3 linked regions of the Drosophila melanogaster genome follow. The protein of the gene in region 2 interacts with the protein of the main gene of each other region in a pairwise test. Each region holds a gene or a part of one and is shown on either strand. Other genes may lie near its edges.

The links. Proteins that work in one complex are often made in the same cells at the same time.
Region 1: the proteins of fd3F (region 2) and Ptx1 interact in a two-hybrid assay, tested with the Drosophila melanogaster proteins (one large-scale study listed by BioGRID).
Region 3: the proteins of fd3F (region 2) and pdm2 interact in a two-hybrid assay, tested with the Drosophila melanogaster proteins (one large-scale study listed by BioGRID).

What each region holds. Positions count from the first base shown.
Region 1 is NT_033777.3:30,910,993-30,915,793, reverse strand, and holds the start of Ptx1 (Ptx1), read right to left. Parts: upstream 3,041-4,801; 5' UTR 2,210-3,040; intron 1-2,209. UniProt on the Drosophila melanogaster protein: Appears to control physiological cell functions rather than pattern formation during embryogenesis.
Region 2 is NC_004354.4:3,800,539-3,805,346, forward strand, and holds the start of fd3F (forkhead domain 3F), read left to right. Parts: upstream 1-1,777; 5' UTR 1,778-2,018; coding exon 2,019-3,211; intron 3,212-3,687; coding exon 3,688-3,783; intron 3,784-4,808. Other genes in the region: HIP (Hsc/Hsp70-interacting protein), read left to right, coding at 22-213.
Region 3 is NT_033779.5:12,655,321-12,660,204, reverse strand, and holds the start of pdm2 (POU domain protein 2), read right to left. Parts: upstream 3,041-4,884; 5' UTR 2,132-3,040; intron 1-2,131. UniProt on the Drosophila melanogaster protein: DNA-binding regulatory protein implicated in early development. Involved in neuronal cell fate decision. May act as an octamer-dependent activator of transcription.

The DNA.
Region 1 (4,801 bases), on a different chromosome or scaffold from region 2:
TACTCAGACATAATTATCGCTTGGCTGGCTACCTGGTAGGCAAATCAACTGGTGGAACCTTTTATCGCCTCAACGGCGAAGGCAAACAGGGAGCTTAACCCAAACACCAGCCGAATGGCAAGTTAACACCAAACACGTCAAGGGGTTAATACCACGGATGCTGGAGCCGGCGGCAAACGGAGTGGTAAACTGGGACTCTTTCAGTTGGCGTCGTAAATCGTATGGCTGGCGGAGCGCACCTGAGGGGATCTGGTGGGGCATATGGGCTGACAACAGCACCACCGAGCCACCGCACCACCGCACCCCCGAACCGCCTACACTGCTATCAGCAGACTGTTGGAGCGGAGATGGCGGGGGCCAGGTGATAACAGCCTTATCGATGTAAAATATTTTCATTTCTGCGAGCATTTCTCCGCTATTATTATTGTTATGATTGCACGTACACTGGGCGCCTTTGGATTTTGGCAATCGAAATTGGGGAAAGCTCGAAGAAGTAGTAGAGCGCCGCACTGACAGTCAGTAGTGCGATAAACTGTGCCATGGGCGTCCAATAAATTCGTTAAAAATAAAAACAGCCCACTGACAGTAGCACGAAAATAGCCATAAACGATCGTAAATCAATTAGCAAAAAGGGAGGGAACACCTCTCCAGGTTCCTAGGCCCCTTTGCCCGATATCGGGCGGGAATGGGCATATACATATATGTACATATACGTTATATATGCGGTCCGCTATCTGAGCTAACGAAACCAAACTAAACGAAACGAAACGTTGCAATAAATGGTTATCTAATCTCAATCACAACAAACTAAAGGCATTCAAAGGCATTCGAAACGAGAACGAATTTCATAAATCTAGCGGCAGCATAAATTCGCAGTTGTGTGTTTAAGTGAATTTAATTAAATTTAATTGGAATGCCTTGGCTTGAGCTGTCACTTTCGATTTCGCTGATAATGCCGCTTGATCTCCACTTGATCCCCAGTGGATTAGTGCGGCTGTAATGTTAAATCCATTTGCGGTTGTTCAACAGCAATAATAATAGGCAGCCTTTCGTGATAAACATAATTTCACTTCAAGCCAATTTATGGGCCACACGATTGGTTAGTTGGTGTGTGTGTGGGTGGGGGGGGGGGGTCAGCCGTTGAAATGAAAAGTTCTGCATTTATTGCCGTGATGGGGATATTTATAATACTGTTATTTGCTCTGTCTTTGCCGCAGTTGTCTCAATTTCTGGCTAAATTATCTGCCGCAGCGTCTAATAAATAATTCGGTTGCCAGTTTGCCATTGTTTCCATTCCATTTCGCCAAAGAATATTCTCCGCTCCATTTCTTGTGTGTTTTTCAGCTTTTGGCTTTTCTGCCTCGTCATTTTATTTCAAAAGTGAGAATTTATTTACATAATGATTCCCTAAGACAAAGAATGCCAGAATTATTTTATGCCACTTTATGGCCGCGAGATCTCGTGTGTTTACGGCCTCTTCGTCGCGAAGGTGCCAAGATTCCGATGTTGTGCCAAGGCTTTCCACATGCTTTCATTTCTATTTAATTTTATTATTTTATTCAAATTCGAGTTTAGCGGCTGCCCGGAGATCCGAGTCCGAGCATTGTGTACTTAGGTTTTTTCCACATCTTGTTTGCTAATTGTTCAGGTGACGTCAATGAGCCAGCGCCGCTTGGCCGGGCTCTCCTCCAATTTTTTTGGCAAAACCCACAGTACTGGCCCAGAAGCCCAGAGGCCCCCTTACGGAATGGCCGAGATCTCTGTTTATGGCGGCAATCCGGATCCGAGTCTCACTCCGCCGTGATTTATGCGCGGCGTGAGAGTCCGCCGTAAACTTAATTCGTTGTCCAACAAGCCGTTTATGGGCTTGCTCTGGGCCCTCAATGGGAACCTCTGCTGATCCTCGCTGGAAAGCTAGGCTGTTTTCCTAGCATCAGCTGAATTGACATTGCTATTAAGGGGCGCTTAAGTTCCTAGCCAGGTGTTTACCGGAAAACTTCTGTTGGCTATTATGACCTAACACATCGTTGTTGCTGATAATAACTTTCGTTTTTAAAAGATCCCTATATAATTCAATTTCTAAAATCTTTGAATTTCTAAATCAAATTTGATTTATAATTTCTTGCTTCGTGCGTTAGCAACTCAAGAATCACTGAGGTCAGTGTAACAAGTTTTAAGTTATGATTAACTTTATGCGACTGCGACTCACCTCTGAATGATGGGAGAGGAATTAAAATTAATCCACTAGGTGGTGGGAACGAACTTCCGTCGGTTCTCTGGTTCTGTCGATCCCGAATATCAAAGGCGAACTTTGATGGAGCAAATGTCGTGGGTCCGTCAATAAATCAGATGGCCAGCATTTCTAATGCCGGAGATCTGGGAAAGTCTCCGAAAATCTTCCGGATATATCGCGTGGGCAGTGGGCTATAAATCTCGGGGAGATCGGTAGGTTTGTGCTGTGTTGTTGCAACAGATTGCTAATCAAATGCGAAGCGGCATTTAATAAAGCCCCAGCCGTTAAACAGTTTTCGCACACGCGGTGTTGACGTCGGCAGATCAAATAATAAAAATCACAGTGATTATGTTAGTGATTAATTTTAAGTAACTCGGGGATATGTTTTTAATCTCGCTGCCGCTTCACAGAAACACACACTCGCGCACACAGTCACTCGCGGCACTCTCAGTGATATGATTTCGATTCGATTTGATTTGATAGGCAAATCCTGGCGGATTTAAGTGTTTAATAGTTTAATCCACGGCGTAATTAGGCTAAGTATCTGCTAGGGTACTCGAATCTCTGTATCTAAATCTGTAGCTCTAGACCTGCAATTACATGTATCTGGTATCACAACGGAGGCGACGCGTCTGCATCCGTAACAGGACGTAGCTGGATTGAAAACGAATTCGGAAAAGTATCTGTTGGATGCGTGTACACTGTACAGCGCATGCAGCGAGTATCTGGCTGGTGGGGTTGTGCGGGGTGGTTGGGCCAGTGCTAACGGTAAACGTGGTGCTGGCGACGAGAACTCGCGGCTACTGAACGCAATACCCCGGAATTTCGCCTTTCGAACGCAAGAGCCCCGTGTATTGCCCGCTATCTTATCTCTCTTTTCTGCCCGTGCACCGGCGAGAGGGTGTGAGGGAGATGGTCTTCTGGCCGACGAGTAGCGAGAGCTGCCTGTGCAGCGGCAGTGCGAAAGGGAGGTCCGATCATTCGAGTGCGTGGAAGACACACCCCCAAAGTCGGCACTCTCTCGCTCTCTCTCACTCAGACCCTGGTGTTTGCAGTGCGCCATTGCTGTGCTCTCCCTCTCTCGCCCACTCTCCCTCTCGCTCTTCATCCGTACATTATTTGGCCGCTCTCGAGGGTTTGATTTGTACTTTCGGGTTTGGCTCTGGTTTGGTCCTTTGTTCCGTTCTCCCCCTTTGAGGACCCCTGGCAGAGCCCTGCCCTCCGCCCCTGGACAATTGCTACGTGCTGTGTTCATAATAATAAGGCTACTTTGCCCACTTTTGAGGGCTGGCTGTCTTTTACTGGGTGTCAAGGGCGTTTTGTTATCCCATTATTCTGCGTTAGCCCGCCATTGTTGTGCCTGTGCCTGTGCCAGTTTAACCCCCCGACCGCCCCTCGCAAATAAATAAATAACTGCTCCTTTTGACGTATCCTTGCGTTTGTATTTGTATCTGTATCTCCTCCCTGGGACTTTCCCCTTTTTGATTTGTTCGCTCTGCCAGCACAGAAATACAGCCACAGAGACAGCGATACTTTCAAAGGAAGCTGAAACTGAAACAGAAACAGAAACAAGCAGCAGGCAGAATTTATTAATATTCACAACAGCTTTTGTGCAGTTCATAATTTTCGTTTTTATTTCGCATTTGCCTGCCTTTCCCTTAGGTTTTATCCTCCTCCTTGAGTGGAAGAATGGGTTTAGCTGGGTCGAAAGGGGGAAGCTGAAGGAAATGGTCCGGGAGACAGCCGACTGATGTAAATGATGCTGGCTTTATAGCCTCGTATTCCGCAACTGACATGCCACGGAACTAATCAGACATAATTTCCAATGGCCATGCGAGTCATAACTCATGACCTCTGGAGATCTCAGGAAGTTTACTGCATTCCATAGTAACAAAATAAATCAATTCGACAAGATGAAGTAGAGAATGGGAATCAGTCTGTCATGTTAAACGTGCTTCATAATATCTAACCCACTTATATATATTTAATAATTGTATATATTTGTAGGATATATTTCATTTTGGCAATCCATGGTGTGATGTTTTTGTTGATTACTGCCACCTCTCAGAACGTGCGACTGGCATAACCCAGATTGCAGATAGACTTGAAATGATAATCGCGCTGAGAGGAGGCCCTCGAAATACTAAAGCCACTCGAGTTGCTCAGACCTTCTCGAGTTTACCGCCTTTGAACTCGCCGTCACACATTTGCCCAGTTACGTAAATGTGGCACAATGTTAGAAGGGCTGGCTGGTACTCCAGCGATCCACCCACTCAGAGGGGAGAATTTCACCTGAGTGACGATGATGCAGTACAATATGATGATAAAGGGTTCTCCACCTGTGGTGCAAGGTCCGACTTTCAGCACCCCGGGGAATTTCTGTTTTACGATGGCGTAATTACACAATGTCCTTTGTGTCCCTTGGCCAAATCCCCGACTTTTATATTGATGACAGGCTGTCTATTTCTGGCCCAGCGCTGCGGGTATCTACCAGGTCGTATTTCAATTATTAGGGCAACCGAAATTAGACTTTCGACTTTCCGATATCAAAAGGGGGACCGTTTTCGC
Region 2 (4,808 bases):
GTTATTTATTAACTTTCGTAGGACATTTTGTCAAATCCGGGTAACATCACAAAGTACGCGTCGAACCCGAAGATATACAACCTTATCAAGAAGATTGTGCCCGGTGGAGATGTGGGTGCTGCCTTTGGCCAAGCGGGTGAAAAGGCTGGAAAGCCGAGCGAGCCTAAGCCTAAAAAGGATTCCGCCGACTTCGTCGATGACGGTTTGGACTAAGGTTTAGAAATGGGGCAGTAGTAAGACTGAAACATGCGTCGATAAAAAGAAGTTAACAAACAATTACACGAAATCGAGCGAGATTACAAAACAACAAAGAAAGAGAAAGCAACAGAGTGCGGGGAAGAAGATGGACTACACGAAAAACAAAAGGGAAAGCAACTGCCTTACACATTTTTGCAGCTGGGAAAAAACAAACATTTCCTAAGCTTTAACTTAACCAACACGTAAAAGAACGGGCGACAATGGAGAAAATTCAAATATTCAAAATACTACAAGCAGTCAGAAGAATAAGCAACATTTATTTAAATCGAGAAGAAAGAGATGTTGGAGATGCTGGAGACGCTTCTTCACATATTATTGAAAAGCATACTTGCGGCCATTAAAGTGGCAAATGAAACTATACAAAGGAGCTAGAATATGCTTAAAAACTTCACATTTGCAGTTCACAGGTAAATCAAAAGATTGTCCTGTAACGAACAAAACATGAATGTTTAGACGTCAAGTCAGATTCAAGGGTGCCGATCGATCTAGTTGAACTAAAGCTCGAGAAACAACCAAAAGAAAATAAAAAATATATATATGTTCAATAATATTAGCCTAAATTACCGAGAACGAAGAAACGGATAAAACTAATCGCATCATTTGGTCAAACAAAATTGTACTGAGTAGGATTTAAATCATATTGTATGCAAATGCATTTAGCCCCCCAACATGAAAGCAATCGCCCATTCATTCACACACTCATTCACACACTCATTCACACACTCATTCAACCAGTGATCAATGGAAATAAATAAACGAATCAACAAGAACCCGAATTGCTAATGTCCATATTTTTTGGTAAACGGGTAAAAGGGGAGATACTTTTGCTTTTTTTTCGAGCGGGTTGAACAGATGGAGCCGTAGTCCCTTAAACTATCCGGCGCATCACCTGTGTGGGTTGCTCACTTTGTATGAAGTACATTGGGTACGCATGGTGTATGAAAGCGTCGATTAGACGCTTCAATGGCTGCACCCTGCACCCTGGATCCAGAACCTATCTACCGCACCCCGCCCCATGTCAGCGCGAAATTGGCTAACGGACAGCTTGGCGCACATGTTCGATTATGGCCAAATCGAGCGACCAAGCAGAACCAGCGGCACATGACCTGGGCTCAGCGATGCCAAGACCTGGGTGGTTGTACCTAGAGGTACTTGATTGCTTTTTAAACTCAGCTTGGTACAGCGTACACGACTGATTATTTAGAAGCTATGACAGCTTTCTTTGCTTTGATATTTTTCATATTTATATATAAATTATAAATATATATTTATAAGCAGGTGATATGGTTGAAACATATATCAACGAATATGTCAAATATAATACAGTGAAGTGTCTGCATTATTTTATTGTACCTGCGCCATCACAGGTACGGCTCCTCTTTCCATCGACTGCAGACGTACCGCTTATGTGCATGACTGGGTGTCCGGGGTGGTGGATGTGAATGTGGATGAGTGGCAGGAGGGCGCAGGCGCAGCTCAGCCCAACAGCCAAGTTGGTCTGGACTCCTGGCGGCCCATCGCATTCCGTGGCCAGTCGCAGCGCGAGACGGTTAGCCAGTTAGCCAGTGCGGACCGACTAATTCCCAATTTCCGCTCTTGACTAAACTAAAGATTGAGAAATAAAGAAAGAAATATCCTTCGTCCGTCCCCCAGACGAAGCAGGTCAATTTTTTTTTCGTGTTACTTGCTCTTTTTCGCCAAGTGTGAGTTGTGTGTTTTGGCTTGGCTAACGTGATTGAAATCGAGACAGCCGGGACATCATGATTGTCAACATGCCCGTCAATGGAACGGGCAGTGCATCCAGCCCAACATCGAATCCCAGCAGCAACAACAACAACAATAGCAGTACCACCAATCAAAATGATACGAACACTAATCTTCCCGGTGATTACAACTTTCTTAAGCGCAAGTTCGACGATCAGGAGGATTTGGCTTTGGGCCACGACTACGAGCCCATCGGGGCAAATCCCTGGAAGAAGCGACACTTGGACTACGATGCCGGGGACCTGCACTTCCACCTGCAGCTGGAACAGCCACCTAGTAATCCGCCAACCAACGCTGCACCCGCCCAATCCTCGACGTCCTTCATCAACGATCTCTTTTCCTATGAGAGCAGTCTTCTGGTGCCCGCCGTCGCCTATTCGCACTGTCCACCATCGAGTGCTCCATTGGATGACAATGGTGGTTGGACCGGTGGCGAGCTGCTGGAGCTGGATCATCGTTATAACTCCGGCCTGCAGGCGGAACTGGGGCAATTGAATGCCACTTTGCCGCCGCCACCACCAACATCATCATCAGCTCAAAATGCATCCAATCATACGCAGCAGTCAACACAACAGAATGTCAGTCCTGGTCAGAACCCACATCAGAATCAACATTTTCTGGTGCCGCAGAAGCAGCGGATACAGTCGGCGGGCCGACGCACCTCATCCGGTTCGGTTAGTGGGGCCAATGAAGCCACCGAGGCGGACTTCGAGGATAAGAACCTCTCGTGGCTGCTCAACTTTAAGTTCGACGAGTTCCCGCACCTATCGCCGCACAATCAGATTCACGGACAGGCGGTCAATCTGCCGGAGGGCAGTGCTCCACCTCATCCACCATCGACGGCAGTGCCGATCGCCACGTCGCCCTGCAGTTCCTCCTCGCCATCATCCGCCTCCGCCGCATCGGCATCCGCATCCGCCATAAGCACAAATCAATCTCTCGGATCGGGTTTGGTGGATCAACGGGCCAGATCGCCCAAGAGTTGCTCCAGTGCAGCGATGCCAGCGGCATTAGGAGGAGGAGGCAACGGCTCCGCTGGCGCTTCAGCAGCGGGGGGCGTGGCCGGCGTGGGCTCCACCAAGACTGGGCGCAAGTTCGAGGAGCTGGTGATGGAGGTCACCTCGGAGTTGGACGGTAACGACATGATAGTTGCCGAGCACGTTGTCGTCGAGGATACTTCGTCCAAGGCGTAAGTGTTGCAGAAATAAAACAATATGACAGTGTCAACGGTTAAATTCTATATTTCCTAATTTATTTGAAACATCTATTTATTCCCGTTACTCATAGAGGAAAAGGGTATACTAGATTCGTTGAAGTATATATAAAATTTGTTGATCAGGATCAATTTTTAAATTTTTTTCTCATTTTATTCCCCAATATCTATCGACATCCCAGAAAGATGATTAAATTTCGCGTTCGCATTCACACTAGCTGAGTAACGGGTATCTGATAGTCGGGTAACTCGACTATAGCATTCTCTCTTTTGTTTTAATATATTTAACAATCTTTTTCTCTGATTTGTGCGTTCTCCATTTGCTTTCAATGCCGTCCTCCAATCGATGCCGCCAACGAATTTCCCCAACCACGCAATCGCCGATCCACTAAACCACCGAACCACCCACCAATGTGGCTGAAATCCAAAACCAACCACCGCAAAACAAGCAGGCCAAAGAAACCACCGTTCACCTACACGGAGCTCATCGAATACGCCCTCGAGGATAAGGGTGAGCTGACTGTGTCGGGCATATACCAATGGATATCGTAAGTACTGTCCCCCATCGAACCACCCACTGAATCAACCACCACCGCCCACCGCCCACCGCCCATTCGGATGGACGCCATTTTGTGGAGTGCTAGCCATCCTGTTATTTTTTTTGATGGCAAAAAACGCCAGCCAGGATGCAATTAAACAAATCTCAAGCATTTCGTTTTGGCCATTCCCGTTGGCCATTTGATTTCCTCGTTCGCTGGGTATTTCTTCTTACCATGTTTTCGTTCCTTGGTTGGTAACCAAACTTAAACAAAGTGCCACACACCGGCAAACAAACGATAGCGGCCACAATGAAAGTGCCAAAAGTTAGCAGCTCAAACAGATTTATGGGCTAGAAAATTGCATTTACCTTGCCTTCGCTCGCATAAGGTGAAAAACAAAAATGTTGTTAACCAAACTATTTGCGGGTTGTTCAACAAGTTGTTTATGCCAAACTGGTATTCCCTGGTATTATCAGCTTATACGGATAGCGACCCATTAATTTTGGCTTTTGGATTGTTTAGTGGCAATTGTTGAGTATACCAAATTCTTAGTTTTATGGTGATAAGTGCTTAATACGGCTCATTCCGTATTAGTTAATCATTCAATAGTATTCAAAACTAGTTAATCATTACCTACTTTTCGCAAAACGTTAAAATTTTCAAAATTCCATTTTTACCACGCTGAGTTCGAAAATATCAATTCGTCAAGAATCGCTGACGAAGAAAACAATAAGTTTTAACACATTTTTCAAGGTTCATCAATTTGGCCTTTCGCCCCCACTGCTCCCCACCTGTTTTTTGTTATTCATTTCTTTTGTTGTCTTCGAATACCCGGAATCAGTGTAAATATTTGATGCCGCAGCCGCGAATGTTGCGTGTAAATATCCTATATAAATTTACATATAAAACCACCCCGCTCGGGAGGGGGAGGCAAATAATTTATGACATTTGCCCATCACCTGCGCACCTGCACTCCTCACCACCCCCCCGCATTTAATGTAATGAATCGACAGTCCAAGAAGTTTCGGCTCAGT
Region 3 (4,884 bases), on a different chromosome or scaffold from region 2:
AATTTGCTGTTAACTGCACTTTAAAAAGCTGTTATTAAATACATAGAGCGCTGTGATCTTTACGACTCGATAGCGGAAGTAATTGATTTTTCCCTTAAAATAACTGACCCATCCACATTCCTGTACACGTGACTTTTCACGTTACAGGTGGAAACAGTGGATTTGTTTGAAATCGAACGGATGTTTGTATACCTTATAACTGAGATTAATTAGTTTAGTTTATTAACTGGCTCATGAGTATATTGCATTGTCAGCCCATTCTGCGATTACAAGTTTGTATTTTGATAAAAAAATATATAAGGGTAAAAGTTTAAAAGTTAATATTCTCTTCTAAAAGGTAAATGTAAAGTAAGTTACTGATTAGAAGTTTTACTGTACCTAGCATTGAATGAAAATGTTAATATGTGAGAAACTATATCATTCAGTTAAATAATTACAGAAATTCCATACCACTCGAAAGTAAACATGTCATAAAAGTACATATCGCAATTTATATAGTTTAAATGTTTGCTCTTTTAAATTCGTTTATTGAGCAGTCCAAACATTTCTCTAAATTTTCCCATGGCCTGTCGAATCAGCTCCCACAAGTGAAAAGTGGTTGTATACAACTTTACAGCAGTAGACACCATAAAAGGCACTAAAACCTAAACTTTGTATTATTATGCAAACAAAAAATGGGAGAATGAAAATGGGCACATTTACCAAATGTGGTTTGAAACGAAATTGTTGTAAATTGAAAACAAATTGAAGTCAAATGAGATAAGGAGTGGGTGGGTGGGTGTCGAAAAATCACGGCAAAAGGCGATGAAATCAAAGGAAATAGAAATGGGAAATTAAACTACAAGCGCAACGATCAAATGCCCCGAACAACAAGTCAACTTGGCCAGATAAGATACGGTGCTGAAAAGTGCAAGTGCGTTTATGGAAATGGTTATTTACATACATTACCAAACGGGTTTATGTACATATGAGCCACGAAGAGGCGGGTCGGGGCAACTAACATTAATGGCACTTGTAAACAAATCAATTGAGTTGTCAGTATCGACGGCAAATTGGCCGCAACCAAAGTGCCACACGAAGATTGTTTATCAATTTTGCCAGTCGGTAAATTATGTTCTTTGCATGTCAGCAACCAATTGCCAGGAATCGATATATCTGCCGGTATGATCAAAGCGAACGCCGACTAAATGCAGTCACTTATTCCTCGGTGCTACTTTCAATAATTCCCAATCGGCACGGTAATTCCTTATTGGGCCGACAATATCGGGGCTTTCGCTATTTTTGTTTAACTTCATCTTGTTTTAAAATTAAACACAATTGCTTACTCCAATTGGAAACGTATCGCCGATCATATAATACCGAACATTGCCATTGTGTTTGTCTTCAATTTGGAATTTGTGTTTTCATAATTTTCTATTGGGTGTACACGGTTCGGTTGTAAAGATACGAGGGAACTTAGTTCGATGATGTGATTTGCCTGACTTTCGGTTGAGAAATTGTTTGTCGTGATTATCGATCGAATCATTGCCAGAAGTGGAATTGTAAAAAACCCATAAAAATATATATGTGGCACATCTAAGATAGGGTACACAAATCACAGAAGGTTTATGAAAAATATATGGAATGGAACAAATTTAGAAAAAGTTATTAAACTATCCTTTAAATCAAATACTATATTCAATATATATATATATATATTGCCTCATTTTGAAGATAATTGCTTGTTATTAATACATTTTGCATCTTAATTTGATCTAACCTTAAGATTTTCCATTGTTAAAGATTTGACCAGAACATGGTCACAATTTTGTTATGATTAGCTAAAGCCCGACCAAGATCTCTATGATGGATTCAGTTCGCCCGTCCAACTACCATAGTCAGCCATATCGGGACACTTGTTGGCCCTCAAACACATATGGCCAATTAAGGACGCTGAAATACGCGCAGACACTTGGGAAAGCTCATTAGGAATCTGACAGGCCAGAAGAAACAGTTCTGCCCTCTCTCTCTCTCTTGCGGCATCTGTATCATCCATCTGGCTGATCCATCGATCGCATTGAGTGTGGGCGTTACAAGACAAGCTCCTTGACACACTCAGTGGGTACAAAAGAAAAAAAAGAGTTAAACTCACTTGGGCTGGAAGATGGCGCACCTCCTTACTGGTTTTTCCTCTACTGGTTTTCGCCTGCTGTCACGAATTATAATTTAATTGTTTACTTTGCCACACTTTTATAAATTGTAATTGCCAACGAGAATGGCGACAGCTTCACGCCCTTTCTGCATTTTCTGTGGGCCGTCGAGGTGAGGTGAGGTGATCTCTGTCTTTTGGGACAATTCTCCGAGACACGCTTTTTGATTGACTTCCGACAAACGACTGACTTAAAAAAACGCGCAAGGAGATATGGGCAAAAAGTAAAAAGTGAAAAAAAAGCAGACTAAAGAAAAGAGAAAGAGCAAAAAGAAGCAAAGTTCGCGACGACTTCCGACGACGTCCGACGTATCCACAAAATGTCAAGCGAGTACAAAAAATACTTTTTTTTTATAGAAGATGTTGGAGAGAGTGAGTGAGTGTGAGTGTGCCAGTGTATTGGTCTGTTTGCGATGTGCCTCTGTGTGTGTGTGTGTGTCTGTGGGGGTGGGGAAAGGGAGCCATAAAACAGGTGGAGGGGGTGGTGCGTGGGTGTTTTGGGGCGTTTGACTTCGTTTTTCTTTCTCTTGCTTCTTTTTTTTTACAGGAGGTTTTAAAATGAAAAGCTTGTATTGTGTGGGTGGAAAATAGTACTGCATATGTGTGTGTGAGTGTTCTATATATGTATATATGGGTGGGTGGCTCTTATCGGATTCCGAATTATGTATGTATTGACTGCCGCTGCTTCTGTTCGTTGAGGGAAGAAATAATATGGGGGCTCCTAAGTTGATTTGTAGTTTAGAGCGGCATGAAAATTTCCTCTTGAAGGGAATTGAGAAGGAGAAGAGGAGTCAGGCTCATACGAGTAACCGAATAAGGGTATACAAGTAATTCAGTTTGCAAAATATAATAAAATATATTAAAATTCTTATTGATTCAAGTACTGTTTCTCATCATATGATTCATTATTTATTCGGCACAAGATACAAGATTTTTTGATTTTTTTATGGCCGCTTATATACCAAACCGTTTTCTTTCTTTTATAAAAATAATAAGTTTTATAAAATAAAACATATAATACTAAAGCAGATGATTTTATGGGCAAAACAGATTTAATTCCTTTCAAAATCAATGTTCCGACGGCATTGCACTTGCCAGAAATCACAACACAACTCGCGTTACGCATACGCCCCGTGGACAAGTCGGAATATCAGCGAATGAAAAATGAAAAAAATTGACATTGCAATGATGGCAGAACCGAGAATTATTCGCCGTGCTGTCAAAATGCGAATGTCAAGGCAAAAAACGAACCAAATGCAGACAGATAGCCAACAGAATCCGCTGAACGGCGGCAAAAGGCAAAAAGCGATAAACGCATAAATTAAAATAATTACAAGAGGCGTCCTCAGATTATTGTTGTTGCTGTCACGCACACACAGCTAGTTGAAAAAATAAACAAGAAAAGTCGCGAGGACGACAACCGACAATCGGCCAACGGAGTGGCAACTGAAAAACTGCAATTGAATGCAACTTGACCAGGCCAAAGCATCTAGAAGAAGAGCAGTACTAGCTGAATAAATGGAAGAAGAAGCACCACAAGCAACTGTAGTAACCATACACTTACAAAAATTATATAATATATATTCCAGTCATTTTCTATTGTACCATTTTAATATTTAACAGAAATAAACCTTAAATTCTATATTTTATCTTAACAAATATTCACAAACACGTCTTGGTATAACTTAATTTGGTTTTTATTGTTACTCTAAATAGAATATATTATAATTTATACATTTATATATAAAGGTTCTAAGCGTATTTTAAATACATTTCTTTTACAATTATAAGTAAATTTATAATGTTAATAGGCTTTTAATGAAATTGTATTATAACCAATATATAAAACTTTTCTAAGTGTAGAATCAGTTGATTTTTCTCGGCAACTTGGGATCCACATTGTTGCAACAACGTAGTTGTTGCCGCTGTTGTTGCTGTTGATTTTATTCAAAATGGTTTGTTTATGCCTGAACAGAAAGAGAACGCAAGAGAGAGAAAGTGCGGAGGGAGAGGTAGAAAATCTTGGGGAAATATATCCAACAAGCGCGCTCTCTCCCGCACAAACACACTCACCCAAAGTGGGCAGCCGGCAGCCAATCGGCATGGAGCTTTGGCGCTCTCTTGCGGCGCATGCTCGCTCTTCGTGGGGAGCTCTCTCCATTTCGCCGTTGGCCATTGTGTGTGCATGTGCGCGAATTCGCCGCGGCGTCCAGATGCTGCGGGTGAAAAAAAGAGAGCGAGAGGGCTTTTACCTTTTGACTGCTAATTTCCGTTCATTAAAGTTGGCAGTAGCTTGGCTCGCTCACTATTCTATATGTTCCACTCCCCCATGCCGCCCCCCCTCAGTAGTGAGTCCTTAAAGATATTTCGCCTTGGCCGCAGCTTTAATTTCATTGATTAGCGCCGAGGAAATTCCCTTCTTGGCCCTTTTATTTTTGGTTTGTCACTTCTATTCACTTGTCTGCCCGTCTGCTTGTGTTTTGGTTCCTCTGCAGCCTCCTTTACATCCTCTTTTCCACTATTCTTGTTTTGTAAGCATTTAAGTTGTCGCTGTTTCGAGATGCTTAAATCCAACTAATCGATGGGTTTCGTCTGAAAATGGTTTAGTTTGTGGGGGTAGGTTCTGAAGAGTATGACCCAACTATTCACGGAGTAACTATTTGGTAATCAAAAGATAGTTATGAAATAAAGAAGTT